4 linked regions of the Pelodiscus sinensis genome follow. The protein of the gene in region 4 interacts with the protein of the main gene of each other region in a pairwise test. Links are inferred from orthologs where the notes say so. Each region holds a gene or a part of one and is shown on either strand. Other genes may lie near its edges. The genes, in order: CCDC14, TBC1D15, DTNB and CEP63.

Evidence for each region.
Region 1: the proteins of CEP63 (region 4) and CCDC14 interact in binary tests that used the Homo sapiens proteins (3 or more experiments, as listed by UniProt). The link is inferred for Pelodiscus sinensis from reciprocal best matches to the Homo sapiens genes CEP63 and CCDC14.
Region 2: the proteins of CEP63 (region 4) and TBC1D15 interact in binary tests that used the Homo sapiens proteins (3 or more experiments, as listed by UniProt). The two-hybrid records come from large-scale screens. The link is inferred for Pelodiscus sinensis from reciprocal best matches to the Homo sapiens genes CEP63 and TBC1D15.
Region 3: the proteins of CEP63 (region 4) and DTNB interact in binary tests that used the Homo sapiens proteins (3 or more experiments, as listed by UniProt). The two-hybrid records come from large-scale screens. The link is inferred for Pelodiscus sinensis from reciprocal best matches to the Homo sapiens genes CEP63 and DTNB.

Annotation. Positions count from the first base shown.
Region 1 is NC_134717.1:10,227,162-10,234,512, forward strand, and holds the start of CCDC14 (coiled-coil domain-containing protein 14), read right to left. Parts: upstream 3,084-7,351; 5' UTR 2,947-3,083; coding exon 2,914-2,946; intron 2,058-2,913; exon of another isoform or gene 1,889-2,057; intron 1-1,888. UniProt on the Homo sapiens protein: Negatively regulates centriole duplication. Negatively regulates CEP63 and CDK2 centrosomal localization.
Region 2 is NC_134711.1:65,588,612-65,596,552, forward strand, and holds the start of TBC1D15 (TBC1 domain family member 15), read left to right. Parts: upstream 1-4,856; 5' UTR 4,857-5,036; coding exon 5,037-5,060; intron 5,061-7,941. UniProt on the Homo sapiens protein: Acts as a GTPase activating protein for RAB7A. Does not act on RAB4, RAB5 or RAB6.
Region 3 is NC_134713.1:428,678-437,042, forward strand, and holds the start of DTNB (dystrobrevin beta), read left to right. Parts: upstream 1-5,223; 5' UTR 5,224-5,377; intron 5,378-6,867; exon of another isoform or gene 6,868-6,950; intron 6,951-8,365.
Region 4 is NC_134720.1:1,059,684-1,067,137, forward strand, and holds the start of CEP63 (centrosomal protein of 63 kDa), read left to right. Parts: upstream 1-4,219; 5' UTR 4,220-4,500; intron 4,501-7,454. Other genes in the region: ANAPC13 (anaphase-promoting complex subunit 13), read right to left, coding at 318-443, 2,835-2,933. UniProt on the Homo sapiens protein: Required for normal spindle assembly.

The sequences.
Region 1 (7,351 bases), on a different chromosome or scaffold from region 4:
GCTGTTGAGCCCAGGGTCAGCTGTGGACTCCCCAGCTGACCCCAGGCTCCCCATAGCATTTCCCCAGGACCCGGATCATCTGGGGAGTCCCCAGCTGATCTCAGGTTCACAGGGAGCCCAGGCTCCCCTGTCGCCCCTTTGAATCACATGGAGGCAGCAATTTCAAAGGGACAGCAGCTGCACTGCTGATCAGCTATGCAGCGGCTGCCCCTTTGAAACTGCTGCCTCCGTACAATTAAAAGGGGCAGGAGGGGAGCCTGGGCTCAGCTGGGGCGCTTGTACATTTCAAAGGAGGAATGCGGAAGTGCCTATCGACTAGTTGACTAGTCAATAGAAATTCCATCGACTAATCAATTAACCATATTTTAACATCCTTAGCATGATACAAAAACCTGACATGAGTAGGCAAACTAGTGATGTGAACAAGGGAATGTTGTTCCCGCAATTTTCTCCTCTTAAGACTGACACAAAAAGGCAGATTGCAACCCCTGACTTTCAAACCTGGGAGAATCTAAATGATTGAGAGCGCAAGTAAGTCGGAAAGAGATTTCAGATGTCCTCTTGTAACACTTTGCAAAACTCACAAGACAGTAAAATGTATTTTGGGAATGAATCCACAACAAAAGATAAAGCTAAGCAGCTGCTGACAATTGCCTTTGAGGAAATAAAACCAAATGGTCATAGGAGAGCACGAGGGAGAATTGCCACCAGCCCCACCAACCAGGAGAGTCACAGAGATTCACCTAAGCCCTATTCTTGGCGAGACTGAGTCTATCATTCACTCCCATGTGGGAAGTCCTCAGGGCTGGCCCGAGCCATTTTGGGAGCCAGCAAGCATGGGTGCCCGGGGTGCACGGTGTATGCGCGGGCCTGACCCCGGTGCGCACGGCACATGTGCTGCCCAGCCGCTGGCGGGCAGCTCAGGGTCTGCTACCGGGGCGCACAGCGCATGCGCTGCCTGGCCCAGCAACTGCTGCTAGCGCGCAGCACCTGACCATGCAGGGTCCCGCAGCCGTGGGGGGAAGGGCGCTGCTGGTTGGAGCCACGGGGATAGGGGTGTGGGGGGCACTGCGGGAGCCGGGCGTGCGGCGCCTGATGGCAGCCCGGGCGGCAGCCCGGGCAGCTGCCCGGCTCGCCCACCCCTTAGTCCGGCCCTGGGAGTCCTGCATCCCACATCTAGGCTCCCAGTAAAAACCCCACCCGTCCTTAGTAACCACTATGTAGTAGACTACATGATTAACAAATAAACCTGGGCTTATTCGTTAATCCTATCAACTACACATACTACCCTCCCCCTTGCTTTTAAGATGGTTCCCCACAAGAACCAGATCCTGAAGAGTACCCCTCCCTCCCCCTGCACGCACTGGTGACTCTTATAGAGAGGCAGCAGTTCAGAAGGGGAAGGGGCAGGCAGCAGCCAGTACACACAGAAAGCCAGCTTTCAAGCTGGCTTCCCATGCGGATCAGATCCCACGGAGCCGTCTTCCCCTCACCACCATGCTGCTGCCTCTCCCTCAGAGGCATCATTGCAGGTTGGGGCTAGGGGGTGGAAGGCAGGAATGGATACATGTGGGGAGCCAGCTTTTATTCCAGTTCTCTGCCTGTGTTAGCTCTGCAAAGCCACCTGTCCCCCTTGCTTCCTCCCAAAGAGGTAGTGGGAAGCAGGCAGGGAAGGCTGCAACAGAGCAGCCTCTGTCCACAGTAGGCCTGGGGTCACCATGGACAGAGGGCTGCTGCCTTTAATAGAGAGGCAGACGCACGGGATGGCAGAGGGCTCCCCAGGAGTGGGGCCAAGAGCACAAAGGCTGCCAACCCCGCACCTAGGGACTATTGTGTACCTGCTAAAATGGATGCGGTTACACAATTATTAAATTGCTATCTAACATACCTAGTAACCAGCAGAGGAGAGTTCCCCGGACTTGTAAGTCCAGTTACCTGCAAGTCCTCCTGAAGAGAGTCCCCGAACTGTGAGTCACCTCCCTCAGAGATCCCACCCCTGACCTAGGATAAGGATGTCAAGGAGCGGTTATTTGGCTAATCGTGTAGTTGATACAATTTGTATAGACTACATCCGCGTTTCTCAAACTGTGGGTCCCGACCCCCTGGGGGGGGGGTCGTGAGCAACTTAGAGGGGGGGGGGGTCTCGGTATCACAAAGTTTGAGAACCCCTGGACTACATGATTGGTTGATAAGAGAAGGTGCTTTGCAGAGCTGGGGGAGGGGAGAGATAGCTCCTGGAGCTGGCACAAGCTAGGACCAAGCAGCTTACGCCGTCTCCGGACTGCTGCAGCTCACCATTTTAAAGGTAGCAAGAGCCAGCCAGCTCTTACTACTTTTAAAATGCAGCACCGCAGCAGGCCCGGACCAGCACAACCTGGGACTGCTCAGTCCCAGCTCGCGCTGGGTCCAGCAGCCTGTTTGTGGCAGCCCAGGCTGGGCTGCTGCCAGAGCAGTCCCCCCAAAAAACCCTCCCAGGCTGCCTCTGATGGGGGGCGGGGGAGAAAAGCAGGTAGCACTGCAGAGATGGCGCTGGGCCAGGGGAACCAGCTTTTCAGTCAGCTCCTCCCACCACCAGCTTCTGTCCCCCCCCCCCCTTATCATAGAGGTGGAGGGGGGGCTACTGGCTTACACCCCTAACCTGGCAGCCCACTCACCTCTCCGCCCAAGCCCCGCCCCTTGAGTCCACTTCCCGCCCCAGGGAGCCCAGTCACCTCCCAACCCCCCTCAGTCAGTGACCCCCCCTCCCGAGAGCTCCGCCCCCCGCCCCGGGAGCCCCGGAAAAAGGACGCTCTTTACTCCCTGCCCCAGGCCCCCAGAGAGACCCTCACACCGCCGCTCCAGGCGGCCAACCCCCCCTCACAGAGGAACGCCCCAGAGCGCGCGTACCCCGCGCCCCGCCCCCACCTCTGGTACCTTGTGATGCCGGAGGGTGCCCGGCCTCGCCATAGCTCCCTCTGTCCCCAGCCTGGGGGCGGAGCTAGCCCGCCAACCGCCGGGGCACAAGCGCGCGGCCAATCCCAGCCCCACTTGGCGGACAGGCCCAACGCCTGCGACAGCCCCGCCCCTACCGGCTCCCTCCCTCCTTGCAAGCCGCCGGCGGCAGCCCGAGCGGGCTGAGCGATAGGGCGGAGTCAGGAAACCAGGGTCGGGATTGGTGGAAACCGCGGCCCAGTCAACCAATCGTAGAAGAGAAGCCGGGCTAGCCCAGTGAGTCAGGAGGTTCCTCGCCTTCAGCCGGCCGGAGCCGCCCGCTCTGCGCGGAGAGCAGGGAATCGGCCGGATTCTGCTCCGTGACCGCCGGCTGCCCGCTTCAGGAGTCAGTCCCGTCTCCAAACCACTGGGTCCCCGCTCAGTCATTCCCCCGCAATGCTCCAGTTCCCCTCCGGGAATCCCCCAGCCCTGTGCAGCTGTCACGCCTAGCAAACCGCTGCCTGTTCCGCTCGCAGCCGAGAACAAGCTGCACTGCTGAACTGGCCCTTTTTTGGGTGCGCAGCAGAATGGGGAAGGGGAGAGGAGCGAAGATTTGTGACCCTCTGTGAGAACATAAGAATGGCCAGACTGGGTCAGAACAAAGGTCCTTCTAGCTCAGGGATGGGCAATAAACAGCCTGCAGGCTTGACACCATTCACAGGTGCTGTGTCTAGACTGGCCAGTTTTTCCGGAAAATCAGCCGCTTTTTCCGGAAAAACTTGCCAGCTGTCTACACTGGCCGCTTGAATTTCCGCAAAAAGCACTGTCTTCCTACTGTAAAAAATCAGTGCTTTTTGCGGAAGTACTATGCTGCTCCCGTTCGGGCAAAAGTCCCTTTTGCGCAAAAGGGCCAGTGTAGACAGCTGTGATTTGTTTCGCGCAAAAAAAGCCCCGATCGCGAAAATGGCGATCGGGGCTTTTTTTGCGCAAAAGTGCGTCTAGATTGGCACGGACGCTTTTCCGCAAAAAGTGCTTTTGAGGAAAAGTGTCCGTGACAATCTAGACGCTCTTTTCCAAAAATGCTTTTAATGGAAAACTTTTCCGTTAAAAGCATTTCCGGAAAATCATGCCAGTCTAGACGTAGCCAGGCTGTTTTATTACCTACCCCAAATTTAGCCTAATCTGTCTGCCAACCGTGGCCAGTGCCAGGTGCTTCAGAGGGAACGAACAGGACAGGGAATCATCAAATGATCTATCCCTGGTCGCCCATGCCTAGCTTCTGGCAACAGCTTGTCATGATTTACAGGACTCATACTCTCACTTCATACAATCTTTGAGACCAACCCCTTTCAGTATGACATCCCTTCTCTGGGAGCCACTGTTTCTTGGCTAGTAAGCTGTAGGCCCCCCGCCTCTTGGAACTGTACCTCTCTGACTCTTCAGCACAGCTACCTCTCACGTGAGCTGTCTCAGGAAGGCCACTTGTTCTGGACCCCCATAAGCAGAGAGAACAATGCAATGAGTGTAAAGCAGAAGGGTTCCCTGAGCAGCTGAATTAGAGCCGGCTCAAGCTACGGGCTGACCGGGTGATAGCCTGGGGCGCCCGATTGTAAGGAGCGCCGTGCAGTGCTGCTGAGCCGGGTGGGGCCAGGGCCGCGCAAGTGCTGCGCTCCCGGGGTGCAAGAATGAGCTGCGCGCCTGGGGGCAGCACCACGCGCCCAAGTCCCGGGGCCTAAGGATGGATCGGGCTGGCTCTGATCTGAATCCAGCTCAGGAAACTCTCTAGACTCAAAGCCTAGCAGCCCTCAGCATAATACATCTAGGTCTCTCCTGCATTTGGGGGGATGGGAGGTTCTGGCTGCTCTCTCTCCCCAGTCCAGAAGCCCCCTCCTTTCAGCTGATCATCCTATATCATTCATCACCTCCAATTACTCTGCCCCTGTCCTTCATCTATGGTCCAGGGTAAACATGTTGCCTGGACCTCCTCCTTTCCTTTCTTTGTTCTCCATTGGCTGGAACCAGCTGTTCAGATCATCTCTCCACAGTCCTTTTGCCTCCCACTGGCCACCCTCTTCGGAGTTAGACATGCATTAAGCACTACTTGATCTGGGTCCATCACCTCGGCTGTCATCACGTTAGCCCCATATAGGCAATGAGCCCACTGCTTTGGTTACAGTAACCGAGTCAGTGTGAGCCACCTTTCCCACATGCAGGGCCACTGTTCCACTCAGATCTAAGGATCTGGCTATGGACAAGCAGGTAACCCGAGCTTCATAGATCTTCGCTTTTGCTACTTTCAAAGGGAAAATTCCCTCCTCACTGTCTGAGCCCTTTACATGATCATTGGCTCCTGCCCTCTCCAACTTTGGATCGCTGGATCCTGTCTTAAAGAGACATGGTCATTTTCTAGTAGTACGGCAAAGCTCACATGCTGTAGGACACCAGCCCCACCCCTGCCATCCTTCCTGTGTCTGCATTGGACTCTGAGCCATAGGCAAGATGAATGCCTTTATGTTTGGGACCTTCCTGCAAATTATATAGTCTCTCAGCATCCAAGTTGCACCACACTGACAAGAGTTCTTTCAGCCCTGGAATCTCTTCACTCTGTGAATGTTTCCCTGTTGATCACCACCTTCTGCTCCCATTGTAGATCAGAGGTGCCAATGCCCAGCTTGGAGTGGAAGTCCGATGCCATTCCTCCCTCTTACCAGTTGGATCACTGGAGAGGGGCAAGCCCCTGTGTTCACACCTCTCTCTGCAGCAGGAGTGCCAGGCATGTGGAGAGGGGCAAGCTTCCATGCGCCGAACTCTACTCCCTGGCAGGAGCACTGGGCAAACGAAGCTGGACAAACTCCCATGCTCCAACCTCACTCCCTGGCAGAAGTGCCAGGCAGAGTGAGGAAATCTCCCATTCCCATGCTATTGCAGGAATGCTAGGGGGGCCAGCACAGATGGGGGTGCACATTTTTCAACCCCCCCATTCTTCTAGGGCCCCTGGCAAGAGAGCTTATCACCCGCTAGAGGACTGGAGGAGGGGAGAGGTGGCCCTGATGCCTCCTACCCAACCTCCTTTGATTGCTTGCCCACCCTAAATTGGGGTCCACCCAAGTGTTGCAGCTTGCTTACGCTACTGCTCCAGGTCTTCTGTTTATAAACTTGTTTGCCAGTATATCTGGTCCACTAACCACATCTTAAGGATGTTATACAGCTGCTCCGATCCTACCAGATATATGTCCTCTGCAGAAGTGGACACCCATACTTTTTCCCCACTTGCAGGGATACTCTCCCAGCAAGGAGCTTATCTCCTTATAGGTGATGCCCAGGGTCTTGACGGCACGCTGAAATCTTTTCTGATCTGTCTCACATGTCAGTTCAAACAGCTGTGTCTACATTGGCGCGATCTTGCGCCAAAGCGGCCGCTTTTGCGCAAAAACACGCTGCCTGTCTACACTGGCGGGGAGTTCTTGCGCGAGAACACTGACGTTCTAATGTGTGAAATCAGTGCTTCTTGCGCAAGAACTATGATGCTCCCGCTCAGGAATAAGCCCTCTTGCGCAACTGTTCTTGCACAAGACGCCAGTGTAGACAGGCAACATGAATTTCTTGTGCAAGAAAGCCCAATGGCTAAAATGGCCATCGGAGTTTTCTTGCGCAAGAGAGCGTCTACACTGGCATGGATGCTCTTGGGCAAAAGCACATCTCTTCTGCAAAGGCACATGCCAGTGTAGACGCTCTCTTGCGCAAATACTTTAACGCAATAACTCTTGCGTTAAAGAGTATTTGCACAAGATCATGCCAATGTAGACGTAGCCAAGGAGTAACACCTCTTTGTTCCCAGTTTCTGAACACCTTTATGACCTTGGAGTCACTCAGGAGAGTTAAACAGCGGAGCTTGCCATGGGCTCAGTTGAGTTCAAATCAGAAGCCTTCTCAAAAGCAGTTCTGGAGACATTACTATCCCTCCCCCATTACACTGGGGCACACTTTGGATTCTAGGCTTCCTGCCAAACTGGCATCTTGGCATCCTTCCCCACATGCCCATGGCAAGTCCTCTTGACCTGCCTCTCCTCCAACTCCAGTTCATGTTTCCAGTGCTCCAAATAATTTATTTTCCATCTCTTCATCTCCATGGGAAGGAACCTGATTTGGGATGTCTCTCTGCTGAGTGGGGAATTGGTTCTGGTGGACCCCTGCTACTGCCTCAAGTACCCCCTGCTATTCCCCAGCTCTCTGGGCAGTCTAGAAGCTTTGCTGGGATCTGGAACTTGCTTCTCAGACTGGTTATTCTCTACCAGCCAGGCAATCAACTGCCCCTGAGTGGGCTTCCCAGAACTCAGCAATCTCTCCCTGCACAGACATGCAATGTGCCTTCTAAGGATTTAGTTATAGGCCCTTTCCTTGCTTCAGTTCCCTTTGTCTTATTCCTGGCAACCACTCACTG
Region 2 (7,941 bases), on a different chromosome or scaffold from region 4:
TTCTTCCTTTGGCAGCTCCAAGAAGCCTATTATCTCTTCTTCGTTTAAATTAGGCAAATCTTCAAACTATCTATTGCCTGCCATTCGATCTCTCTTTTTCTTTCTCTCCTTTCTGCCTTTCTATTATTTTCATCTCTCTTTCTTTCCCTATTTGTGTAAAAAGACATGATCACTATCTTACTATTTATCACATTACTATTTCTACACTATTAGTATTAAAACATATTGGTTTGTTAGTATCCCTTATTTATATGCTGTTAGTTTTATTATAATTGCTAAACGTATTGGTATTACAATTAAATAATCTAAACTTAATCTCTAAACTTATCTTTTATTTTACCATTTTAACCACTTTTAATTCCTAAATTGATGGAGAGAGAAACACTCAAGGGAATGCGTATTTATTCTCCTAATATTCCTGTAAGCATGTACCCGTCACCTGATTTGTACCTTATGATGTCTGCATCTACTGCTGTATATTACTAGAAGATTTACCTGGCATTGGTCAGGCCCTTAACTCGATTAATTTTTTTTTACGGAAAATAAAATGAAAATGTACACACTCCATTTAAATCATTGCTCGAGGGTGTGACTGGGGATGATGGGTTCAGTACGCTGGCTGCCCCGGGGAGAGAGGACTATCCCAACCTTCTGTCACCGCAGCAGCTTGTGCCAACTTCAAGATATTTGCTGTTAGCACTGATCAGTACTATGTCAAGCACCATTTTAATGTGCCCTGATTTGTATCTACTATGTGTGTGTTCATTGCTTTTTTTGTTGAACTGGTTCAAAATATGTCCACAGCCTGATAACTGACACTGTTTGTAGTTGGTGTATTTAGTGAATGCCATTGTATGTGCTTAAATGCTCTTGTATCTGGAGCAGGTCTGGTACATGTGCTTCCAATCACTAAATCCACGGTGGTTGGACATGTCTTCAGAATAAGAGTGTCAGAGGAGGTAGCCATGTTAGTCTGTAACTTAAAAAAACTTAAAAAACAACCAGTAGCACAAAAACAAAAACCCCAACAACCCAAAAACATACAGTATCATGAGCTTTCGTGGGCACAACCCACTTCTTCAGATGAGTGGAGCAACAGGCACAGAGGCAGCATTGTGCCTACAAAAGCTCATGATACTATATATATTTTTGTTAGTCTCTAAGGGTATGTTTACACTACAGCGTTATTTCGAAATAAGCTATTCCGAAATGGTTAATTCGAAATAGCTTATTTCAAAATAACGTGTCTACACACAAAATGCATTTCGAAGTAGAGTTTTGTTATTTTGAAATAGCGCGTCCACACTGAGTGGATACTGAATCGCACTTAAGGCTGGCTGGAACCAGGTCTGGCAGGGCATCAGGTCAGGATTTACTTTGTGTGGCTGCTGCCTGAGGCTGTCTGAAGCCTGTGCTTAAAGGGACCCCTCCTGAACAGCTGGTTCCCTACTTGCTTGCCTACCTCGATGAGGGACAGCAAAGCATTTTGTCTCTGCGTGCTCTGGTTGCCCTCACTCAGGACACTACAGCACTCTGCAACATGGAGCCAGAGCTTCCCCGTGCACTCTGGTGCTTCTCTTGGACGTGTTGTTGCGAGCCTGGCTGGACTTTCAGCAGGCTGCTATCCGGGAGGTCCATTGGGGGGCAGTCAGTATCCAGGAGGCCCTGCGGGAGAGCTTCCACCCTGAGGAGCACTAACAATCTCCCTGGTCTGCCCCACTGGGGGCTTGTGCATCATTCCTCCCTAATTTCCTTCCACTTACTCCCCGCCCCAGCTCCTTTTCCTTATGTCAAATAAAATACATGTTTTTTCATAAACACAAACTGTCTTTATTTAACAAAGCTAGAGGGGGGATGAAACTCCGGTGAGACTGGGGAAAGGAGGCGGGAGAGGGGAGAAAAGAGGGTTGGAGAGGGGAGGGGGAAACCTGAGAGGAGGAAGCTGGAAGGGGGAAGCAAGGGGAAGAATGGGGAGGGGAAGCTCAGGGCTTACGGGTGGAGGGGGGTCTAGCCGGACCAACTTGATTTTCATGCGAATCTGCTCCTGGGTTTGCATATGGCCTTTGGTGGCCAGGCTGGCAGCTATCCTGCCATAGATGGCCACGTTCCTCCGTCTAGTGTGGAGATCATGGACATTGGGGGCATCCCCCTCCAAACCTGAATAAAGTCCATGATCTCCACCCTGGACCAGGAAGGCGCCCGCCCTCTCTGGGCCCTGGCAGGCTCCTGGGAGCTGGCAGACTGCTCCTGGGGAGCAGTGGAGGGCTGGCTGCCAGTGGCTTGCTGGCTCATGTTTTGGGGTCACTGGGTCAGGGGCAGTGACTGCTGGCTCTGGGCTAGCAGGCTTGGAGCTGGCACAGGCACTGTGGCCAGAGTCTACCCCTTAAAGGGCTCCAGGGACGGGAGAGGGGAGGGAAAAGAGTGTTCTTGGTTGAGGCTGGAGTGGCCACCAGTGAACCCTGGGAAGGCTGGAGGCCCCCTATTTCAAAATAAGTGTCTACTCAGCACTTATTTTGAAATAGCTATTTCGAATTTGGTGCTATTCCTCATAGAATGAGGTTTACCAAATTTGAAATAAGCACTCCGTTATTTCAAATTTATTTTGAAATAGCAGTTTGGCTGTGTAGATGCTAGGAAAGTTATTCCAAAATAACTTGGCCTGCTTCACATACCTGGCGCTTGTGCTGGGGAGCAGGGTGGGGGCTTACAAGCCAATACGGCTCTCTGGCAAGTCTGCCAGGCGGGAGGAGCAGGTCAAGTCCTCAACCAGGCTCCATGGCTAGAGCACTGGAAGGAAAGAATCATCGAATCATAGAAACATAGAACTATAGAACTGGAAGAGACCTCAGAAGGTCAACAAGTCCAGCCCCCTGCTCTAGGCAGGATCAATCCCAAAGAGTGGGGACAAGCCCTGTACTGCAACCCCAGACCTCAGAAGGATCACTGAGCGGTGGAACTGGGCAAGCCCCTGCACCCTGACCCTGCTCCTCAGCAGGGGGAGTGCTGAGCAGGGCAGGCAGTGCTGGGGCAGGAGCAAAGCTGAAATGCCACTGGGAGGGCCTGGATCATCAGTGGGTGGGCTATGGCCCAATCAGGCCCACGGGTGGCTAAACCACTGCTGCTACCAGTCAGTTGTGAATCAGTTTGGAGTTGGAAAATCCACCATGTGGACTGTGGCAATACACGTGTGCAGAGCCATTGCCTCCTGCTACAAAGAACTGCAACTCTCTGTAATGTGCGGGAAATGCTTGATGACTTGAGGCAATGGGATCCCCTAACTGGTGGGGCAATAGATGCAGGGGCAGCCCATGCGCCTACGTTGCTGTTGGCCCGGGGCTCCCGATGATGACGTCACAGGGCGCCTGGGCACCCAATGATTACATCATGGCCATTGACAGCCATGCAGGTGGGGGCACCGAGAGCGTCTTCTGCCTGGGGCACCAGCTGCCACAGCTGGCCTCAGGCAGCTCCTGAATAGATGGAATTTACATATCCCAGGCCAACTTGCAAAGAAGTACATCAACCAATGAGAATGCCATTAGCTATCATCTTAGAAAAACCATGAAGGCTACGTCTACACTGGCCCCTCTTCCGGAAGGGGCATGTAAATTTCACGAGTCGTTGTAGGGAAATCCGCGGGGGATTTAAATATCCCCCGCGGCATTTAAATAAAAATGTCCGCCGCTTTTTTCCGGCTTTTAAAAAAGCCGGAAAAGAGCGTCTAGACTGGCCCCGATCCTCCAGAAAAAGTGCCCTTTTCCGGAGGCTCTTATTCCTACTTTGAAGTAAGAATAAGAGCCTCCGGAAAAGGGCACTTTTTCCGGAGGATCGGGGCCAGTCTAGACGCTCTTTTCCGGCTTTTTTAAAAGCCGGAAAAAAGCGGCGGACATTTTTATTTAAATGCCGCGGGGGATATTTAAATCCCCCGCGGATTTCCCTACGACGACTAGAGAAATTTACATGCCCCTTCCGGAAAAGGGGCCAGTGTAGACGTAGCCTGCAAGTCAGGAGATTTATTTGGGCATAAGGTTTTGGGGCTAAAAAGCACTTTGTCTGTTGCACGGAGTGGTTTTTACACACCAAAGCTTATGCAGCCCAAATGTGTTAGTCTGCCATAGTGCACTCCTCCTGTGTGTTCTTTTTAAACAGCTAGGCTGTGTCTAGACTGGCAAGTTTTTCCGCAAAATCATCTGCTTTTGCGGAAAAACTTGCCAGCTGTCTACACTGGCCGCTTGAATTTCTGCAAAAGCACTGACGATCTCATGTAAGATCGTCAGTGCTTTTCCGGAAATACTGTGCTGCTCCTGTTCGGGCAAAAGTCTTTTTCTGAAAGACTTTTGCACAAAAGGGCCCAGTATAGACAGCACAGTACTGTTTTCTGCAAAAAAGCCCTGATCGTGAAAATGGCGATCGGGGCTTTTTTTGCAGAAAAGCGCATCTAGATTGGCCACGGACGCTTTTCCGCAAAAAGTGCTTTTGCGCAAAAGCATCCTGCCAATCTAGACGTGCTTTTCCGAAAATGCTTTTAATGGAAAACTTTTCCGTTAAAAGCATTTTCAGAAAATCATGCCAGTGTAGATGTAGCCTTAGAGACTAACATGGCTACTCCTCTGAGTCTGGTCCTGAAGAACAGCAGCACACAGGCCCCTTTGGACACAGGAGCCTAGCTCAGGCCACGCACCAGTGGAAGGGAACTGGAGCAGCACCGCCCCCTGGCCCCTCACACCCTGGGGGGGGGGTTAAACCCTTGCACGTGAGGTCTGGAGGCCGGCCGGTCAGTAGCGGGGTGTAGGGGAGGGGCGACGCCACAGGGCCTGGCTGGGTACAGCACGCGCCGGCAGCTGCTGAGTGAGGGCGAGCACGTGACAACCGTCCGCCACATTGGGGGTTTCTCCGCCGCCACGAGGCGACCGGCCTGCAGCGCATGCGCCGCACTCTCGGCCGTGGGGCTCGCGAGAGGCGGGGGGCCGAGGTTGTTGTGAAGCTGTTGGAAGCACGTGAAGCGCGCAACGTCATCATAAACACTAGTAGGGAAAATGGCGGCTCCTGCCTGCGGAAAGGTAACGAGCGGAGGGTGTGGGGGTAGGGAGGCGCCCGCTGCCCTGAGCGGGCGCGGCCTGTGCCGACGGGAAGGCCCGGCCGGGCCCTGGTGCTGCCGCGTGTCTCTGTCTGTCCTGGGCGGCGGGAGCGAGGCCAGGCCCCCCAGAGCGCTGGGCTGCACGGGGGAGCAGGGCTAGGTAGCCTGGCTGGCAGGGGACAGGGGAGATCCCTTCTGCTGCTGGGGAGGGGGCCCCTCAGGCCCTGGCGCCGAGTGTCCCCGTGGAGCGGCGGGGGGCAGAAGGGGATGGGATCCCTGCGCTGGTTCTCGGGGGACTCCTCAGTGGGGGAAGGGAGGCGCTCGGTGACAGGCAGCGGCCGCCTTCGCCCCTCCCAGGGAGCTGGTGACATCGGGTGCCTGGCCCGGCGAAGCGGCGTCGTGCTGCCCGTTCCCACCAGCCTGTCGTGCCGCAGCCCCGGTGCTGGGGGCGGCGGGTTGTTGGTCGGCTCTGCCTTAGTCTGGCTGAGGCAGCTCCGCTCCACTCGGCGGGGCGTGCGTCGCTGGAGAACGCCCGGCCGCCGGCCAGCCCAGCGCTTTGGTGAAGCAGTGGAGCTGTCCCGTTGTCCTTGGCCTGGTGTGCAGCAGCCTTCTTGCCAGGCTTTGGCTGGAGTGCAGCGAATGTATCTATCTTTCCACACTTTTGGACAGGGATCGGCAACCTTTCCACACCAAAGAGCCAAACTGCATCACAGTTCAGAACAGTGGTCAACAAAAAGCCGTATCAGAATGGCCGTGCCTGAAAATACACAGCTTAATATTCTTGATAATTGACATGATGATTGATAGTAGTATAAATGAAACTCTTTACTTAGACTCCCTTTGGCCAGTGCTCTGCAGCCACAAACGGACTTGCAGGGAATCATGGGACCCCCCCAGGTGGCAACAGAGCGGAGGTGACACAAAGGAGAGAAAAGGAAAAGAGTGGGCAGAGGAGATAAGGCTCTGGAGAGCACTGCTGAGAGATGGGGCTGGGCCGCTACAGGGCCTGGGGGGTGGGGGGGAGGAGGAGACAGAACTACAGGTTTGACCTTACCACCGTGCTGGGGCCCAGCTGGGCACATGTGCTCCCCGCAGGGTGCCCTTGTCCTTTGCAGACCTCAAGGAACCCGAGCACTTACCAGCCAGGTTCCCACCAGCCCTGTGGTGTGGGGCGGTGGGAAGCGACTCTCCACAGAACCCCCGGGAAGGCAGGAGGGAGACACTGGAGCCATTGAACCTTTCCCCTGAGCTGGAGCTGGGGCCAGGGCTGCATGATGGCTGCCCAGCTGTTCCTGAAGTGGGGACTGTAGCAGCTCCTGGGACTGTCAGGGCCAGATTAAGAGGGGGCTAGCCAGGCAACTTCCCGGGGCGCCAACCTATGGGGGGCACCTGATTGAAATGGTAAGGGGCGCTGTGTGCCCAGAGGATGGGCCGTGCACGCGCTGTGCACCTACTGCCCAGGGCGCAAGTATGGCTCAGTCCGGCACTGGGGCCGGGGCTGTGGTACGGCTGTCCCCAGCCCCTGGGGCAGCAGCTATGTGGCCTTGGCACCAGTCCTTCCGTAGCTCTAGCCCCAGCACATGGGGCAACTGTGTGCCATGCAGCCCTGCCCTGGGAGCAGCCGAGCAGCCATCACGTGGCCTTGGCCCCCCACTCTCCCACCAAGCCCACCAGCAGCAACAGCTTACTTTCCATATCCAGGGAGGGTGACAGCTGCTGTGTGAGGAAATGGACAGGATTAAAATTTTTTGTGTGCACCCGTGGGGAAATTTTTTGTGTGCACCCCTACAGGGAACTTAGCCCATCATCTGCCAAAAGAGCCATATTTGATTCTGTTGCGAGACGTAGATTGCTGACTCCTGCTTTAGGATGTTGTGTGGTCTGTAAATAGAACATAGTTTAAGATAAATCTAATAATTCAATATATGCAGGGCTCTACCATGAGTCAAAGGTTAAATGAGCACTCATTAGGTGCATTCATTAAGCCTTTGATTCATGGTAGAGCTCTGCATAGAACTATTTTATTAATCTCCCACATCATTTCATTTATTTTTATCCCACTTTTACCTGCAAAAACCTTAGATTCTGTAGGAAAGGCAAATACACACAAAAATATGGGTTACAGTTGCCAATTTTCCTGCCTGGATAAACTGTATGCCATTGTTGCAAACAGGTGCGGCATGTTTGCAAAAATTTGGTGGTGCCCAGTATGTCCTGACCCCACACCCGTTCTCCAATCAAGCTCTTCCCCTGCTTCCCTCAAGTCTCTGAGAGGGAATTTGGGTTTGCAAGGTGTTCAGGCAGGGTCATCCAGGGGCTGGCAAATGTCCTGGGAAAACTGCCCCCAGTGCCCCAGGACAATCCTCCCACCCCAAGGCTCTGCTCTTTCCTTGAAGTCCCAAACCAGTTCAGAAGCCTTCTCCCCCAAGCAACCTGAGCTGAAGGTTTGTTTGTGTGTGTGTGTGCGCGTGCATGCCTGGCAGGGCGTGGCAGCAGGCCTCATCACTAGGGATATAAAATTCTGGTTAATCAGTTAGTCAACCAGTTAAATGTTGGATCATCCTAACATTTAACTAACTAAGTGGGGTCTGAGCTAGGGACTGCTCCAGCCAGCTGTAGCAGACCCCAACCCCATGCTGGGTCTGGCTACTGGCTTCCAGCCATCTGCCACTTGTGCCCAAATCCCAGTCCTGGGACTAGGGTTTACTCTGCTTGCTCCCAGCCTCCAGTGGAGCAGCCCATACCTGTGGGGCACACAGACTCCCCCCTGTTTGCAATGGGCCCACTGTGGGACTGGAGCAGCCCCCTACCCATGGAAGGCAGGAAGCTGCTCCAGCCCCCACCAGTTACCCGGATCCAGTAAG
Region 3 (8,365 bases), on a different chromosome or scaffold from region 4:
TGTCTGAAGGTATTTTTTTCTTCATATTTCTTATCTGAGAATGGCATCTTTTTTCTCCTATGCATTCTGACCAGTGCTCTCAGGAAAAAAATAGAGATTAAATAATTACACAGGCACCTGTTTTCCTCAGTGCAAACCATTAAACGGACAATGACAAGGTAAAACAATTTCTGAGACACAGGTGGCTATTCTGGCAGCAGTATCAGTCCTAAGAATGAAGACACATCATCTGCAAACCTGGCTGATACCGTCTGACATTTTTGCAGATTTCCCATAAGTACACTGGCACTTCTGAAGCAGGGCCACAAGCAGATACTAGTGGGATCAAATTATCATGTGACCCTGGGATGACCAGCAGTTGGTCCGAAACTTTTTCATTAAGAAACAGACATGCCTAGATCAGAATAATGAACTGCTTTACTGGCCTTCCAGTACCAGGACATGTGCATGAGGGATGCCATACCAATCCAGAAGTGGCTTGCTATAGCCATTTGGAAGCTGGCAACCCCAGATTGCTACAGGTCCATGGCAAAACACTTTGGTGTGGGCAAATCAGCTGTGGGGGTTGTGGAGGATTGTGAAGCAATTGGGAACATTGTTCCTGCAGAAGCAGTAGGTATAAACAATGGTCCTGAAATAATTACTGACTCTGAGAAAATGGGCTTCCCAAATTGTGCTGGGGCTATCAGTGGGACTCATATGCGCACAAATGAATTATTATATAGGCCTTGGTGGATCACAAAAGCGGTTCATTTGACACCAAATTGGGATGTACTAGCTAAGGATGTGAAAGGTTAATCACTAAGCATCGCCCTAAGTCAGGGGATGTGATGTATCTTGACTTTAGCACAGCTTTTGATACAGTCTCCCACAATATTCTTGCCTGCAAGTTAAGGAAGTATGGATTGGATAATGGACTGTAAGGTGGATAGAAAGCTGGCTAGATTGTTGGGCCCAATGGGAAGTGATCAACAGCTTGATGTCTGGTTGGCGGTTGGTTTCAAGAGGAGTGCCCCAAGGACTGGTTTTAGGGCTGGTTTTGTTCAACATCTTTATTAATGACCTGGAAGAGGGGATGGATTGCACTCTCAGCAAGTTTGTGGATAATGCTAAGGGGGAGAGGTAGATAAATTGGAGGATAGGTATAGGGTCCAGAGTAACCTAGACAAATTGGAGGATTGGGCCAAAAGAAATGTGATGAGGGTCAACAAGGACAAATGCAGAGTCCTGCACTTGGAATGGAAGAATCCCAAGCATTTTTACAGGCTGGGGACCGACTGGCTAAGTAGCAGTTCAGCAGAAAAAGTCCTGGGGATTACAGTGGATGAGAAGATGGAGACCGTGTGCCCTTGTAGCCAAGAAGGCGAATTGCATATTGAGGTGCATTAGGAGGAGCATTGCCAGCAGACCCAGGGAAGTGATTATTCCCCTTTATTTGTCACAGGGGAGGCCACATCTGGAGTATTGCATCCAGTTCTCCCCCCTGCTCCCCTCGTTACAGAAAGGATGTGGACACATTGGAGAAAGTCCAGTGGAGGGAAACCCTAGGAGGAGACGCTGAGGGATTTGGGCTTGTTTAGTCTGCAGAAGAGTGAGGGGGGATTTGATAGCAGCCTTCAACTTCCTGCAGGGAACTTCCGAAGAGAATGGAGAAAGGCTGTTCTCGGTAGTGACAAATGGCAGAACAAGGAGCAATGGTCTCAAGTTACAGTGGAAGAAGTCTAGGTTGGAAGTTAGGAAACACTGTTTCACTAGGAGGGTGATGAAGCACTGGAATGGGTTACTTAGGCAGGGGGTGGAATCTCCATCCCTAGAGGTTTTTAAGTGCCAGCTTGACAAAGTCCTGGCTGGGATGATTTACTTAGGGTTGGTCCTGCTTTGGGCAGGGGGCTGGACTCAATGACCTCTTGAGGTCTCTTCCAGCTTTGGGATTCTGTTACTCTAAATGGATGATACTTACCAGTTCCAGTTAACCAATAACAGGTGTTGGCTGCAGCCAAGGGCAGGGGGCTGCTCCAGCCCTGCAGGAAGCCCCTCTGCAGACAGGAACTGCTGTCATTCAAAGCAGCCTCTGTCATTGGGTAGCCCAGGTGCCCCACAGGCAGGGCCTACTCCAGTGGAGCCTGGGAGCTGGCAGCAGCCCCATTGTGGGGTTGGGTGCAGAAGCCCCACAAGGTCAGGGCTGCTCCAGCTGGGCTGATGCAGTCTATAGCCCAGATCCCACTTTTAGTCATTTAACCAGTTAAATGTCTAACATTTAACTGGTTAACTAATTAACTGGGATTTTACATCCCTAGTACTCGCAGGGTGCATGTTTGGATTTTTCAGAGCCCAGGATTATAACTTCATGGATAAGTAAGGATCTTATTCCCTTCAAGAGATATTGTAAATTGAGTTTCTGTCCTCACTGTTATACCAGGGAACTCTGCATGCCACCTTGTCACATGGCTTACCATACCTTGACTTCAGAGGGTATGACCTAGGCAGCCCATGGCACCAACAGGCTGAAGACATAAAATGCACATATGTCAGACAGGAATCCTGAGTCCAATAGCTATAGAATAGTTCACCAAAGGGTGACATATAAGGTCTTTACTGAGAGCCAATAGCCAGTGGTCATCACCATTATTGTGAAATGTATGAAACAACAGTATTTTAAAAGCAATGTATCCCTACTGGAACTTATGTTTTAAAGCCTTGAAGGTTAAAGGCAGGTCACAAAAGTGACATGCCTCATGTCTGTTTCTCACTATACTAAGTTACCAGCTAAGCAAGGCAGAGACACTGATGAGACTTTGAAGTCAAGAAAAAAATACACAGCAGCAGGATGCATGGTTTATTAATAAAGATCAAAGGACTGCTCTGATATATCTGGGATTGCCAAGGGTGAGGTAAACTTAAGAAGAGAATAGCTTTTGAATTAAGTCCCGATTCTTGTTGTTTTATATGTAACCCTTTGTTTTCAATAATTCTATTTGATATCACCTGACTCTCTATATTTTGTTAAATAGATATGATTCTTAAAAAAACCAAATAAGTGCTATGTATTACATTTGTGGACAGCAAGATTTTTAATTCTGAAATGGAAATTGTGCTGGCTGTAAGATGTTTTAGGTAGGAGTCAAATTTAGAAACAAAAAAAAGTGATAACTACTCCAAGATGTGTATGCAAACCAAATGTTGTCTGCCTGAGACACCAAAATATGACATTAGATTGTCCAGTTATTCGGAATCATAGTGCATGCTCTGCTAAATTGCTTCCCCTTAGTATGGCTATAATGCCCAACTGGCCTCTTCAGAAGGTGGAGATTACATGGTTTACTAGACTCTGAGACTTCTTCAGTGTAGCTCTTTTTTAAAATGGGATCATTTAAAAAGGTAGGCGTATTCTCCTAAGCTTTTTCCAATATTGCTTCTCCAAAGCGATAGTGTGTACTGTCTTCTATCTGAGGTAAATTCTAACATGCCAATGTGCGGATGATCAGACCAATACTTTGAACACAAAGTACAGGTAAATTAGGTTACAAGAAACAGGCGATTTTGTTAATGGCTGATGGAGAGGAGATGAGGAGCCCTGTATCTTGGGAAATCCTGGCTCAAGTGTCCCCCAAATTAACCACTAAGCCTATCCTTCATCTCTGTGAAGCATAACAAATGTCAAGGTGCTGTTGGTCACCATATGGATTGTAGAGCTAAGAATAGTAGTATTTTAAATAGTGGCTGTCAATTAACCATAGTAAAGCTGTTGCTCTGGAGTAATAGCTGGTGATGCTGAAGAGTCCGCTTCACTGACTGATAATGATGATCTCTAGCCCAGACAAGGGGGGAAAAAAGGCTCTTCTACTAATTTACTATCATTGCTGAATTTGTGGCTCAATTGAGTCGTCATGCTCCAACATTCCTGTATTTACGGTTCTGCCTCAGGTTGCTGCTTCCTGGGAATGTTCCTTCCTTGCCTCTGCTGGTGCCCTGTCCAGGCCGGAGATCATGTGATTAGAGGGGCTTTGAGGCATATTGACAGAGAACTCTGCCAACGCCTAACCAGAGTACAGCAAACTGTAAGTGCTCAAAAATCATGGGACTGGCATCTATCTGTCCATTCATACACACCCTATGTATCTATCCCCCCACACCTCCTCTAGCTATCCATCCATTGCCATGCATCCCACACCCTCTCGATCCGTCCATCCCCATACACCCCCTCGATCTATTCATTGCCCCACACCTCCATCTATCTCCCTGCTATTTATCCATCCGTCCCCATACACCTCCTTTATCCCCCCTACACCTGTCCGTTCATATAATCCTAGAGCCAGAAGAGATCTCAGGTCAGCAAGTCCAGCCCCCTGCTCTAGGCAGGACCAATCCCAACTAAATCAACCCGGCCAGGGGTTTGTCAAGCCGACACTTAAACACCTCTAGGGATGGAGACTCCACTACTTCCCTAGATAACCCATTCCAGTGCTTCACCACCCTCCTAGGGAAAGAGTTTTTCCTAATATCCAACCTGGACCTCTCCCACCACAACTTGAGACCATTGCTCCTTGTTCTGCCACCCGTCACTACTGAGAACAGCCTTTCTCCATCCTCTTTGGAACCTCCCTTCAGGAAGTTGAAGGCTGCTCTCAAATCCCCCCTCACTCTTCGCTTCTGCAGACTAAACAGCCCCAAGTCCCTCAGCCTCTCCTCGTAGGTCATGTGCTCCAGACCCCGAATCATTTTGGTTGCCCTCCGCTGGACCTGTTGTCTGTCCCCTAAACTGCCTCCATCCATCCCGCCACCCCCCCACCCCCCCCCATACCCCCCCGTGCCCCACCCCCGCTATCTGTGCCCCATCCAGCCCCCCCCCGTTACCTGTGCCCCATCCAGCCCGTCCGTGCCCTGGCTGAGTTGCGAGCCTGAGGGGAGCGCGGGCCGCTCCACTGCGGGGCGGGGCGGGGGGGGCGGGAGCCGCGGGCCCAGGGAGGCTCGGCCGCGCACCTGAGGCGACGCGCGCGCGCTCGGGGCTGCAGGCAGCGGCCCGTTGGCGGAGGGAGGGGGCGCGGCGCGGAGCGGCGCTCGCTGATTGGCGGCAGAAGCGCGAGGGCGCGGCGCGGAGCGGCACTCGCTGATTGGCGGCAGAAGCGCGAGGGCGCGGCGCGAGTCGCCGGACAGAGCCGTTTGCCGATTGGCTGAAGCGCTCGCTCGTCCGAAACCGCTTCCGCGAGGCGGCCGGGGGAGGGGCTCGCGGGGCGGTTTGAGCGCGCGCGCGGAGGCCGCCTCGGATTGGTCGGAGAAGGCCTCGCGAGGCCGGCGCGGAGGCGCTCGGGAGCCGGGAGCGGAGCCGGGGCCGCCGCCTGCCGCCGCCTTCCCCAGGAGCGGCCTCGCCCCCGGACAAGTGAGTGCGCCGGGCGGGGCGGGGCGGGGCTGCTCTCCCAGCGCCGTGCGGGGTCGCTCGCCGGGCTCCCGGGGCCGAGCCCTTCTCCTCGGCCGCCGCTGCCGGTCTTCCGCCCGGGCGCGCCTCGGGGCAGGGAGCTCGCTGCGGGCCCCGCTCCGCCAGCGCGCGCGCCTCCCCGCCTTTGTGTCCCTGCTGCGGGTGCTCGGCAGCGGCCAAGCGGGCCCTACGGGGGTGGGCTGCCCCGTGTGTCCCGCGGGGCGCGGGCTCCTCGGCCGTGTGCCCCGGTGTGAGCAGGTATTGGCGCTGGAGCGGCAGTGCTGTTACCGAGGTGCTTTCGGAGAGCCCCCCCCCCCCCCCCCGTTAGACACCAGCGCGCCTGTGAGAGGCCATTGCAAAGAGCGGAAACGAAACTAGGTTGTGACATTTCTGAGACTCCGACTGTGAAAAGCAAACAGGGGGAAAAAAAGCTCAGGTCGCTTTTATACAGGATAAAGAAATAAACAGCAAATTCCCCCTCCCCCCCTTTTTTTTGTAGGTAACTTTTTTAAAGATTCAAAAAGAAATTAGGGTCAAAAGTAGAAATTGCCCCAGAGAGTTTTCGTGTAATCTAGGTAATCACGATTGATTTAATATTGTGCGGTATTGAACACAGGACTCTGTACTTGAACCGATACATACATTACATTATTTAACCAGCTTTTTGTAACTTACATTTGATGTTATTTTTGACAAACACACAGTAAATATACAAAGTACATCTAAGTGAGAGATCAACTTGTGAAAAATAACGGTTGTACCTCCCTTAACTGAGACTCTCTGGTCCGGCAACATCAGAGCCCAGATATAGGGAAGTTGGGCCACAGATGGTGATACTGCTGAAAAGGAACTAGGGATTACAGTGGATCAGCAGTTGAATGAGTCTGCAATATGATATATTAGTACTCCCCAACTTTTTCACGATTACAAGTGTAGTATGTCCATCACTGAAGTTAACTGTCTTGCTCTACTCGTTGTGCCTCCACTGTAGTACAGAGTCCTGTTCTGCACGTCACGTGTTAGGAAATAAGATTTTACAAACTCTGCATGCTTTATCTTCAGAAAAGAGAACTGAGGGGATGCATTGTAATAATTTTCAAATGGATTAAGGACTGTTAGGAAGAGAACAGTGATCAGTTATCATCCCTATCCAATGAAAGTAGGGCAAGAAGTAATGACGTTGATCTGCAGCAAGAGCAGTTTAGGTTAGGGATGCTAAAATTAGGTTATTTTAGTAATCAAGTAGTCAATAGAATTTTTATCACACCAGGACCAAACCTTGCTTATCAGTTAATGCTATCTATTAAACTCACCTGGCTTCCAGGGAGGCAGCTTCACTGTGGCATCCGTGTCCCTGGGAGTGGAGGTGGCAGGGGCTGGAAGCCCAACTCCCAGGGAGGCTTTGTTGTGGGCTCTGCAGTATCTCTCTATATAAAAAAGTTTTTTCCTGCCAGATGACAGAATGTTTCTGCTGGGCGACAGAATGATGTCATCACGTTACCTGCATCAATGGGCTTTCTCAGCAAAGTGAAAGCGGGTAAGCGAGCGTAGCGAGCAAAGGTGCAGCCCCCTAAAAGCTTAAATAAGAAACATATTGAATAGAGCAAGACAGAGCCCACAGTGCTTGTAGCTGCTAAGATTTTCAGTGGTTAAAGAGTTACTGTTTTAGCTAACTTCTTACATCCTTTATACTTGGGGGTAGCCGAGTTAGTCTGTACAGGATAAACTTAGAAAACAACAAATGGTCTGGTAGACTAACTTTATAGACTTTATAGACACTTTATAGACTAACAAAACGTATAGCTGGTATCATGAGGTTTCGTGGGCACAGCCATCTATATTTTTTGTTAGTCTATAAAGTGCTACCAGACCATTGGTTGTTTGTTTTGCCTGTTAATTGTTAGTTTAACTAAAAAAAGAAACATTCAATCTTTGCATAAGCCTGTAACACCTCACAATCAACTCATTTCATAACTCCAAATAGATCTGTCACATCAACTCTATTAATAAACTACTATTCTAATACTCAGAACATCACTTTGAAAATTTATAGATGTTTGATATAATTTAATCTGTCCTAGCGCTCTTTTGAAATCTTTACTCATTATATCTTGCTTACATTAAAAACCAAGTACAATGTGAGAAGTATATTTTCATTAATGAACAAAACAAGTGGCAAGATGTTATGCAAACATGGTATGGTTTTAGTGTCTGCTACTATAGTATACAGTCTTTCAGGATGTTGGACAGAAAATTATACATTTGTAGCTGTGTGTGTACTCTGAAATGTACATATTCAAAAAATTACTTGCTTTGCAGTAATCCAGTAGAGAAGAGCAAATTTTATCTGAAATTTGTTTTGGGTGTGGCAAAGGCCACATAATTCAGGTGTGCCAATATATAATTCTGTTGTCTTCATTTTGTCTCTCTAATGTATCTCATTGTAAATCAGGCCTTGATTATAACCGTCGGTAAGAGTTCATATTTCCTTCCTTCTCATCAGTATAAAAAAGCACTTATTTATTTTGATTTTCATTTATGTTTTTATTTTACATTGACGCCATATCTTAGCCTTTCATTACACAGGTTGAACCTTTGTGATCTGGGACTCTCTGGTTCGGCTGGACCACAGATGTTGCTGGGCTAGAGAGCCTCAGAACAGAGGTTACTGGCAGCTTGGACCAGAGCTGGCTGATTGGGGTAGTGTAGCCCATAGGGCACCAGAGTCCGCAGCTGGCAAGACTGGGTAATTGGCAGGGATGCCAGAGCTGGCAGGGCAGGGAGGCAGCAGAGCTCACAGTGGGCTGGGGAGCTGGTGAGGCTGCTGGAGTCCACATGATGGTGCTGCCAAGCCCGCAGGTAGGCCTGGGAAGCCTCTGGGGCCTGGAAAGGGTGGGGCTGCAGAGCTCACAGCTGGTGGGATTGTGAGCTCCTGCAGGGTCACTGCCAGAG
Region 4 (7,454 bases):
ACACAAAAAGCAATTAAGATTAAACGAACTGGCACCAACTTATAAAGAAGTTGTCAACAGGACTCCAGAATTTTTTGCATTTGTGAAAAAGCACTCGGCCACCTCCTCTCAGTTTTAGGGTATGTCATAGTTATTTTACATCAGTCACATGGGGCCTTTTAAACTGTAATGTGCTTTTGTGGAATACAACAGCTGTTTGAGACCAGAAGGTTTTTTAAAAGTTTTGACTCGTTAAAGCAGTGAGACAGGAGATGGTGAGGATCTGCTGGAAACCGTCTTCTTGCATTGAAATCATTCCATGAAATAACACTGATTTACTAGTTTCCTGTTGGGGGAACATTCTCATGAAGATATTGCAAAGCCAAGTCTGTCCATTTCATTTCTTGTTCTTTTACGGACTCTGTTGTACCACCATTGTCTTGTTCTGGTTCAGGAAGTTCGTTCTGAGAACACAAAAGGGGCAATGCATTCTATACCTTCAAAGCACCCTGACAAGATCAGCTTAGCATCATTTCATACTGGTACATGCACACATCTGCAACTAAGGCTGAAGGGAGCATCAGAAGAGCATGTACTGTACATACTGCTTCCACTAAAAATATCAACAAATCCAAATATGGGCATTCCATTTCCACAAGAATTCTGTACTTCGTTTTAGGAGTTGATTTCCTAACTTGACGGCTGGCTGACCCAAGCGTACACAGCAAAATAAATGATTGTAATGTCTGGTAAACATAGAATAAGTAGATATCAACGCAAATAGTTTATTGCCTGTGTGCAACCTTTTTCTCCCATAATAAAGTCCAAATATGTAAGTATTCTATGTCCGAATTTTAAATAAGGCATTCTCTCAAATCTCTCTTTTCTGTCATACAGAAGGTAACAAAGAGCAAAATAAGCAGCACTCTGTCTGGAATTTGAGGTCAATGGCTCTAAAGAGGCGAGGCTGTGCTAGTGCCATACAGAACACTGGAAAGCACTCCCGAGGTGCTTTTGCCTTAGGAACAGAAAACTGATGAGTCTACAGCTTGTCAGGATGAGCAATAGCGTAACTGTTTTGTTTTTCTCTTAACCATCTTTCTCTGCGAGTGCTATCATAACTGTGCAGTTGCTAGACTATGCGTAATTCCCCAGAATATCATCTCGTTCCTGGGTCTTGGCATCCTAGCGAGAGACAAAAGAGCTCCCCAAACTCTAGGAATTTGTTCACGGAGGATCTGATCTAAAGCTTGCTGAAGCCAATGGGAGTTTTTTCATTGTTTTCAATGGGCTTCAGCTCAGACTCTGAAGGCAGTAGCAGCAGTTAGGGCTCAAGCTACTGGTGGTCACCTACTGCCCATTGCTCTAAGCACCACCCACTTTTTAGTCAGCTCCTTCTTGACTTGGGAATGAAGGAATATCCCAAAGCTGCCATTCTGGTTTTTAGCTTGCCAACAGCCAATCCTATGTCAATGGCTCAGGTCTCATGGGGTCTTTAGGTCCACACTCAGGCCTTTTCTACTGTTAGTATGAGCATCTGCAGGGCAAGCCCAGGAAACCTCAGAAGTATGCTGTAAGGAACTCTTCCTCCACTCTGGGCATGCGCCTCAGTCTCCAAGAGTAGTTACATAGTTCCTCCCTCCACCCACTACCCAAAAAGGAGTGACGCTATCTAGTTAATTGACCATAAGATGAAACAAGTACCAGCACTGAAGAGGTTTCTGTATTCAGCCAGCTTAACGAGGCACATCCCAATAAACTCCAACAGGTAGGAGAGTTTGGGCTTCCAGAACTTAAAAAGAGAACCACAGTTCCGCACGGTGGAGATCGGATCATTCCCTAACGCTGGAGTACACCTGCAGAGGCTAAGTGAAGATAGTGAGTTGCTATGCATATGTCTGTGATAGGAGACTAATTCCCTTCAAGTAATCTTCTCACAAACTTTGTCTAATGTAAGAATAAAGAGAGGCTTGAAGGTTTTGAGTATGCAAACGTGGGAGGGAAGAAATCTAGCAGGATGAGTGGCCTACAATTTGGAAGTCCATCACTACTCTAAGAAGGGATCTTTGCAAAAGGTGATGCAGGTACAAAAGCCTGAAGTACATACACTCCGTGAGCAAAAATCATGGCTGGCTGAGAAGTGTCTCAACATGAAAGGCAGCCTGTCAAAATAGAGTGGACGAGGAAGGGCTTTATCCAGTTAATTAAGGAGAAAATCTCAAGATTTATCAGGCTTAAATGAGACGTTTCCGTTAATAACAAGGCTGTATCTATGCCTAGAGACAAGGGGCTGTGAAGATCCGGGTGTGCTATCAAGTAATCTGTGACAGATCAAAGATAGTTGCTAAGTGGACCTAGGAGTTTTCCCTTCTTCACTCTTGGCTAGCAGTACTGGAAGTATATAAGTGAAGGGGAAGTCTTTGGGTCCTCCCCTCTCCACTCGGGCCAGCAGCATAGCACTTGAAAAAGCTGAGGAAGAGGTTAGTCCTGGAACCCGCTCCTCACAGACTGGTGGTACTAGGAGTATGAGGGGAGGATAGAAAGAAACATTCCACCCTCCAAAGAAACAGGTAGCTCGCCTAGATTATGGGAAAGCATTTTCTCCTTCCAAAGCGAGGCAGTCAGCTGCAGGGAGAGAAGCACTTATTCCTCCACCAAGCCGGAGATATGCAGAGCTGGAAGAAATCCACCACCCCGCATAAAATAAATGGGAAGCTGGCCCCTGGAGTGAGGGAGCATCATTCATACAACTGTCAGAACTGTAAGGCACATTTCCTATGCCATGCCTCTGTTAGGAGGTTAAAGGGGGTAGACACATAATATAGGCTTATAAGCAGCTTACTGTGTTCACCTACCAAAGGTATTGCTACATCCTCGTATGGTAATTTATCTTCTCTCCATGCATCATCGATCAAATCCAGGATTCTTCCATCCCTCTGCACTTCACTGTCCATCTTTGCACAATTTACATGCAGATAGATCTGCGACATAAAGCAGAAATTATCCTTGATATCTAGAACCCAAAAAGATGGAGCTTAGATTCTATGCTTGCCCTGGCCATGACTCCTTTCTTAAATAGCTTAATGGCTGTTTTACAGTCAGTAGGGCATGGCACAGTTGTTTTTCATAGTTATTAATACCCTCCATTGTTTGTATTGCCCTATGAGACGCATGAACATGTTTCTTTTCCTACCAATTCAGTTTTTGTCCATGCAACAAACTAGCACATGTACGTGGCTTTGCTCAGGTTCCTAAGGTGTTCAGGGCAGGGAACTGGGAAAGTGGGGTGGGTAAGAGTCAGAGTGGGAGGGTAGGGAGGGGATCTGGCCAGGGGACTGTGGTGTGTGTGTGTGTGTAGCGGGGTAAGCAAAGAGGCTGAAGCTCCTTGAGTTTTGTACCAGGGTCACTTGCTCTTCCTCTTCTTGTCCCTGCCAGAGAACGAGAGCAAAGTGCACAGCTCGTCTGCCCCGTCCTCCCCAGCCAGAGGGAGGAATGCAGCACACTGTGCACTTTCCCCGTGCTCCCCAAAGGGAGCCAGCAATGTCCTCGTATTAATCTGGGGGAAGATGCGCCTCCCCTTGCCCTCCCTAACAGGTGTCTGCGGGGTAGGGCTGGGACCTGCCTGGTGATTCTCTCTCTTCTCAGTACGGTGGTATGAGAGTCAATCCCATTCCAGGCGCATCCCATTGTCCTGCACAACCCGCCCCTGCCCTTGCTTTAAGCTGTGCTCAGTGGAAGCGGCGTCCTGGCTTCGCTGGCCCTCGCTCTCACGCTGTAGAAACAGACAGACTCTCTCAGACCTGTGGCCGATTGTTTCCCTGCCTGTTCAGAAAGGGGCTGACATCGCCTCCCACGGGTGACGGGCCACGGCCCGGCCCCACCGCAAACACCTGTTGTGTCCCCGGCGGTGTCGGCCCCACACAGGCGAAGGCCGGCTGTGCTCCTGCGCCCAGGGCACCCCCCGCAGTGACCCCTCAGAGCATCTCCAGCGCACCCCCCGCACCAGCGCTGCGCAGCTACCCGGTCGCCATGGAGACGCCCCGCCCAGGGGCGGGGCACCGCCCGCCAGGCTCCGCCCCGCCGGGCATGCGCAGTAGCAACCCGGCACAGCGTCCCCTCCCCCACCCGCCTCCGGGCCCGGGGAGCAGCCCCCCCGCGCGGGGCTGAGGGGCCCCAGCAGGGGGCCGGGGCGGGGGCAGCCCTTCCCCCCCCACCGCGCGGGCCGGCCCCTCCCGCCTCTGGGCCTAGCCCCGCACCTGACACCCGGCGCGCGCGCCAGCCCCGTCCCGCCCCGCGGCCCTAGCAGCGGACCACGTGACCGGCGACTCTAGGCCGCGCCAACCATAGAGAGGCGGCGGCGCGAGTCCGCCGAGGAGAGAGAGGCCGGCCCGGAGGTAACGGCTCGGCGGGGGCGTGTCCTGGGTCGGACTGTGCCCGCCGTGAGGCGCTCACCCTCACCCTGTCTGACTGTGCCTGGCGGACAAGGGGCTGTCGCCTGTGCGGCGCTGGCTGTCTGCTGAGGTGACTGGAGGCGGGGCTCTGACTGTTGTTGGCCTTGTCTGACTGTCCCTGGGTGGCTGTAGCTTTTTGTCCGGCTGTGAGCCCGTGGCTGTTCCTGTGGGGCTGGGTCAGACTGTACCCTGCTGTGAAGCTCTCGCCCTTTCTGTGTGGCGAGGTGACTGTAGCCGGGGGTTGGCCGCCGTGTCTGACTGTCCCTGGGTGACCAGGGGACTGTAGCCTTTTGTCTGTCTGTGAGCCCGTGGCTGTTCCTGTGGGGCTGGGTCAGACTGTACCCTGCTGTGAAGCTCTCACTCTTTCTGTGTGGCGAGGTGTCTGTAGCCGGGGGTTGGCCGCCGTGTCTGACTGTCCCTGGCAGACAAGGGGCTGTCGCCTGCTGCCCGCCTGTGCGGTGCTGTTTATAGAATCATAGAATACTAGGGCTGGAAGGGACCTCGAGAGTCATCGAGTCCAGTCCCCTGCCCTCATGGCAGGACCCAGTACTGTCTAGACCATCCCTGATATTATTGCTGTCTGTCTGTCTGTCTGCCTGGTGAGGTGACTGTAGATGGGGGTCTGACTGTGGCTGGCCTTGTCTGACTGTTCCTGGGTGACGAGGGGACTGTAGCCTTTTGTCCGTCTGTGAGCCCGTGACAGTTCCTGTGGGGCTGGGTCACACTGGGTCAATGTCTGACTTTACCTGGCTGTGAGTCTGTGTGATGAGGTGACTGTAGCCTGGAGTCTGGCTGTGGCTGTTCATGCAAGGCTCTGTGCCCCCACCCCACTGGGGCTGTATCTTCACTGCAGGGATGTGGGGAAGGCACATGTTTCAACACCTTAGGACTGGAATTTGCACCTTTATCACAAAACGTGTTGATGAGTAAGTCTATAAACTGTGCTTTGGGTGCCCTTGTCACCCTGGAACTGCAGGTATTTCTGTGGGCCCCAAATTATGAACAAAAACTGAATTGGTAGGAAAAGAATGTTGTGTTCAGACTATGGACAAACCCCCCAAGAACCTGGGAAGTTCCCTTACTGGTAGAGACACCTTTTCAGTCCATCTTCCATCTAGTCTGGTCTCTGACAGTGCCTGATACCAGATGCAAAACTCCATAGTGCACTAAGTTGTGCAACAGTAGCACTTAAGTCATTTTCAGCACTGGTTCAGGAAGGCTCAGTGCAGGCAGTGTTTCAGAGTAACAGTTCAATATCCCAGTAGTATCTGGGACTTTTAAAGACTTACTTTCTGCCTTGGGTTTGACTTAAAAGTTGAGCTTGGTTTTGTTAATTTTGGATACTAGGGGGCTGAGCTTGGTTTTGTTAATTTTGGATACTAGGGGGCTGAGCATTCTCAGTGGAGAGGCTGTGGGTTCCTCCATGCTTGGCCCAGTTAGCTGACTTTAGGGGTACGGATGTTAGATAGTGATTAATTGATTAGTCGTGTAACTGCATCAAATTTTAGTAGTTACACAACTATTTGATTGTCCCCGGGGGCAGGGTCAGCAGCCAGTGTGCTCCGGCCCCACTCACGGGGCGCCCTCCTGCTGCCCCACGCTGTTCCTTCTCTATCGGAGGCAGCAGCATGGGGTGGCAGGCGGGAGCTGGTCTGTGAGGGGAGCCGATTTAAAAATTGGCTCTCGATGCAGATCAGCTCCCACCTGTTGCCTTGCGCTGCTGCCTTTGATACAGCAGAGGTTTATCGATTAATCATGTATTCGGCTACATGTTGACATCCCTATTTCAGGGCACATTTCAGAACCTGCTTTAATAATTGCCATTGTAAGGTCCGATGTCTTGCACTTCAGGAGATCTAGAAATGAAGTCTATTTTATGGCCTTGGAAAGTTGGGAGACACCCTCCCTCTTTTCAGTGGTAAAACTTTCAAAGGAGGAATGCAGAAGTGCCTATCGAGTAGTTGATGGAAATTCCGTCGACTACTCAACTAGTAAATTAATCATTATTTAACATCCTTAGTGTACACGGACACATTCCATTATTCTGAATATCATCCTGTGTACTCAAGCCTAAAATTCACTTCAGCGATGCTTCTTGCACTTACAGTTGGGGTTATACTTAAGCATTTTATTGAATGCTTAATATCTGACGCTGCTTTAGCAGCTGTCGTCTTGTATTGTTAAAGCATTAATTTTTAGCTTTATGCCTTCTGCAAGCTTGGAAGTGCACTCTGTAGTTTTGTAAAATGTCTGCTACTAGAACCATATCAAGTGTCAGAAAAGAAAAAAACAAGCAATATGATACAGTGATGTAATTATAAGGTCCAGTAGCTCGTTACCTTTCAAAGCTAGAAACACCTGTGGCAGGTCAATACAAATGCTTTCAGCATCAATACACTTTTCTAAGCACAAATCCAGGACCACTTCAGGAGATGGGGGGTAGAGGAGGGAAAGATGCTTGAAGGCTCTTTTCTATCTGTCATTGAAAAACTAGGGCTGCGTCTAGACTGGCATGATTTTGCGGAAATACTTTTAACAGAAAAGTTTTTCTGATAAAAGTATTTCCGCAAAAGTGCGTCTAGATTGGCACGGATGCTTTTGCGCAAAAAGTGTTTTTGTGCAAAAGCATCCGTTGTCAGTCTAGACGCGATTTTGTGCAAGTAAGCCCCGATCGCCATTTTAGCCATCGGGGCTTTTTTGCGTAAAACAGTTCTTCCCTGTCTACACTGGCCGTCTTGCACAAGTATTTTTGCGCAAGAGGGCTTTTTCCCGAGCGGGAGCGTGAAAGTATTTGCGCAAGAAACACTGATTTTGTACATTACAAAGTCAGTGCTCTTGCGCAAATTCAAGCGGCCAGTGTAGACATCTGGCAAGTTTTTGCGCAAAAGCAATTGTTTTTGCGCAAAAGCAATTGCTTTTGCGCAAAATCTTGCCAGTCTAGACGCACCCTAGTTGTTTTGTTAGGAACTTCTTACTTATGGGGTCTGAAGAGTTGGCATTTTCTGTTTTGTTTGTAAGAATTGT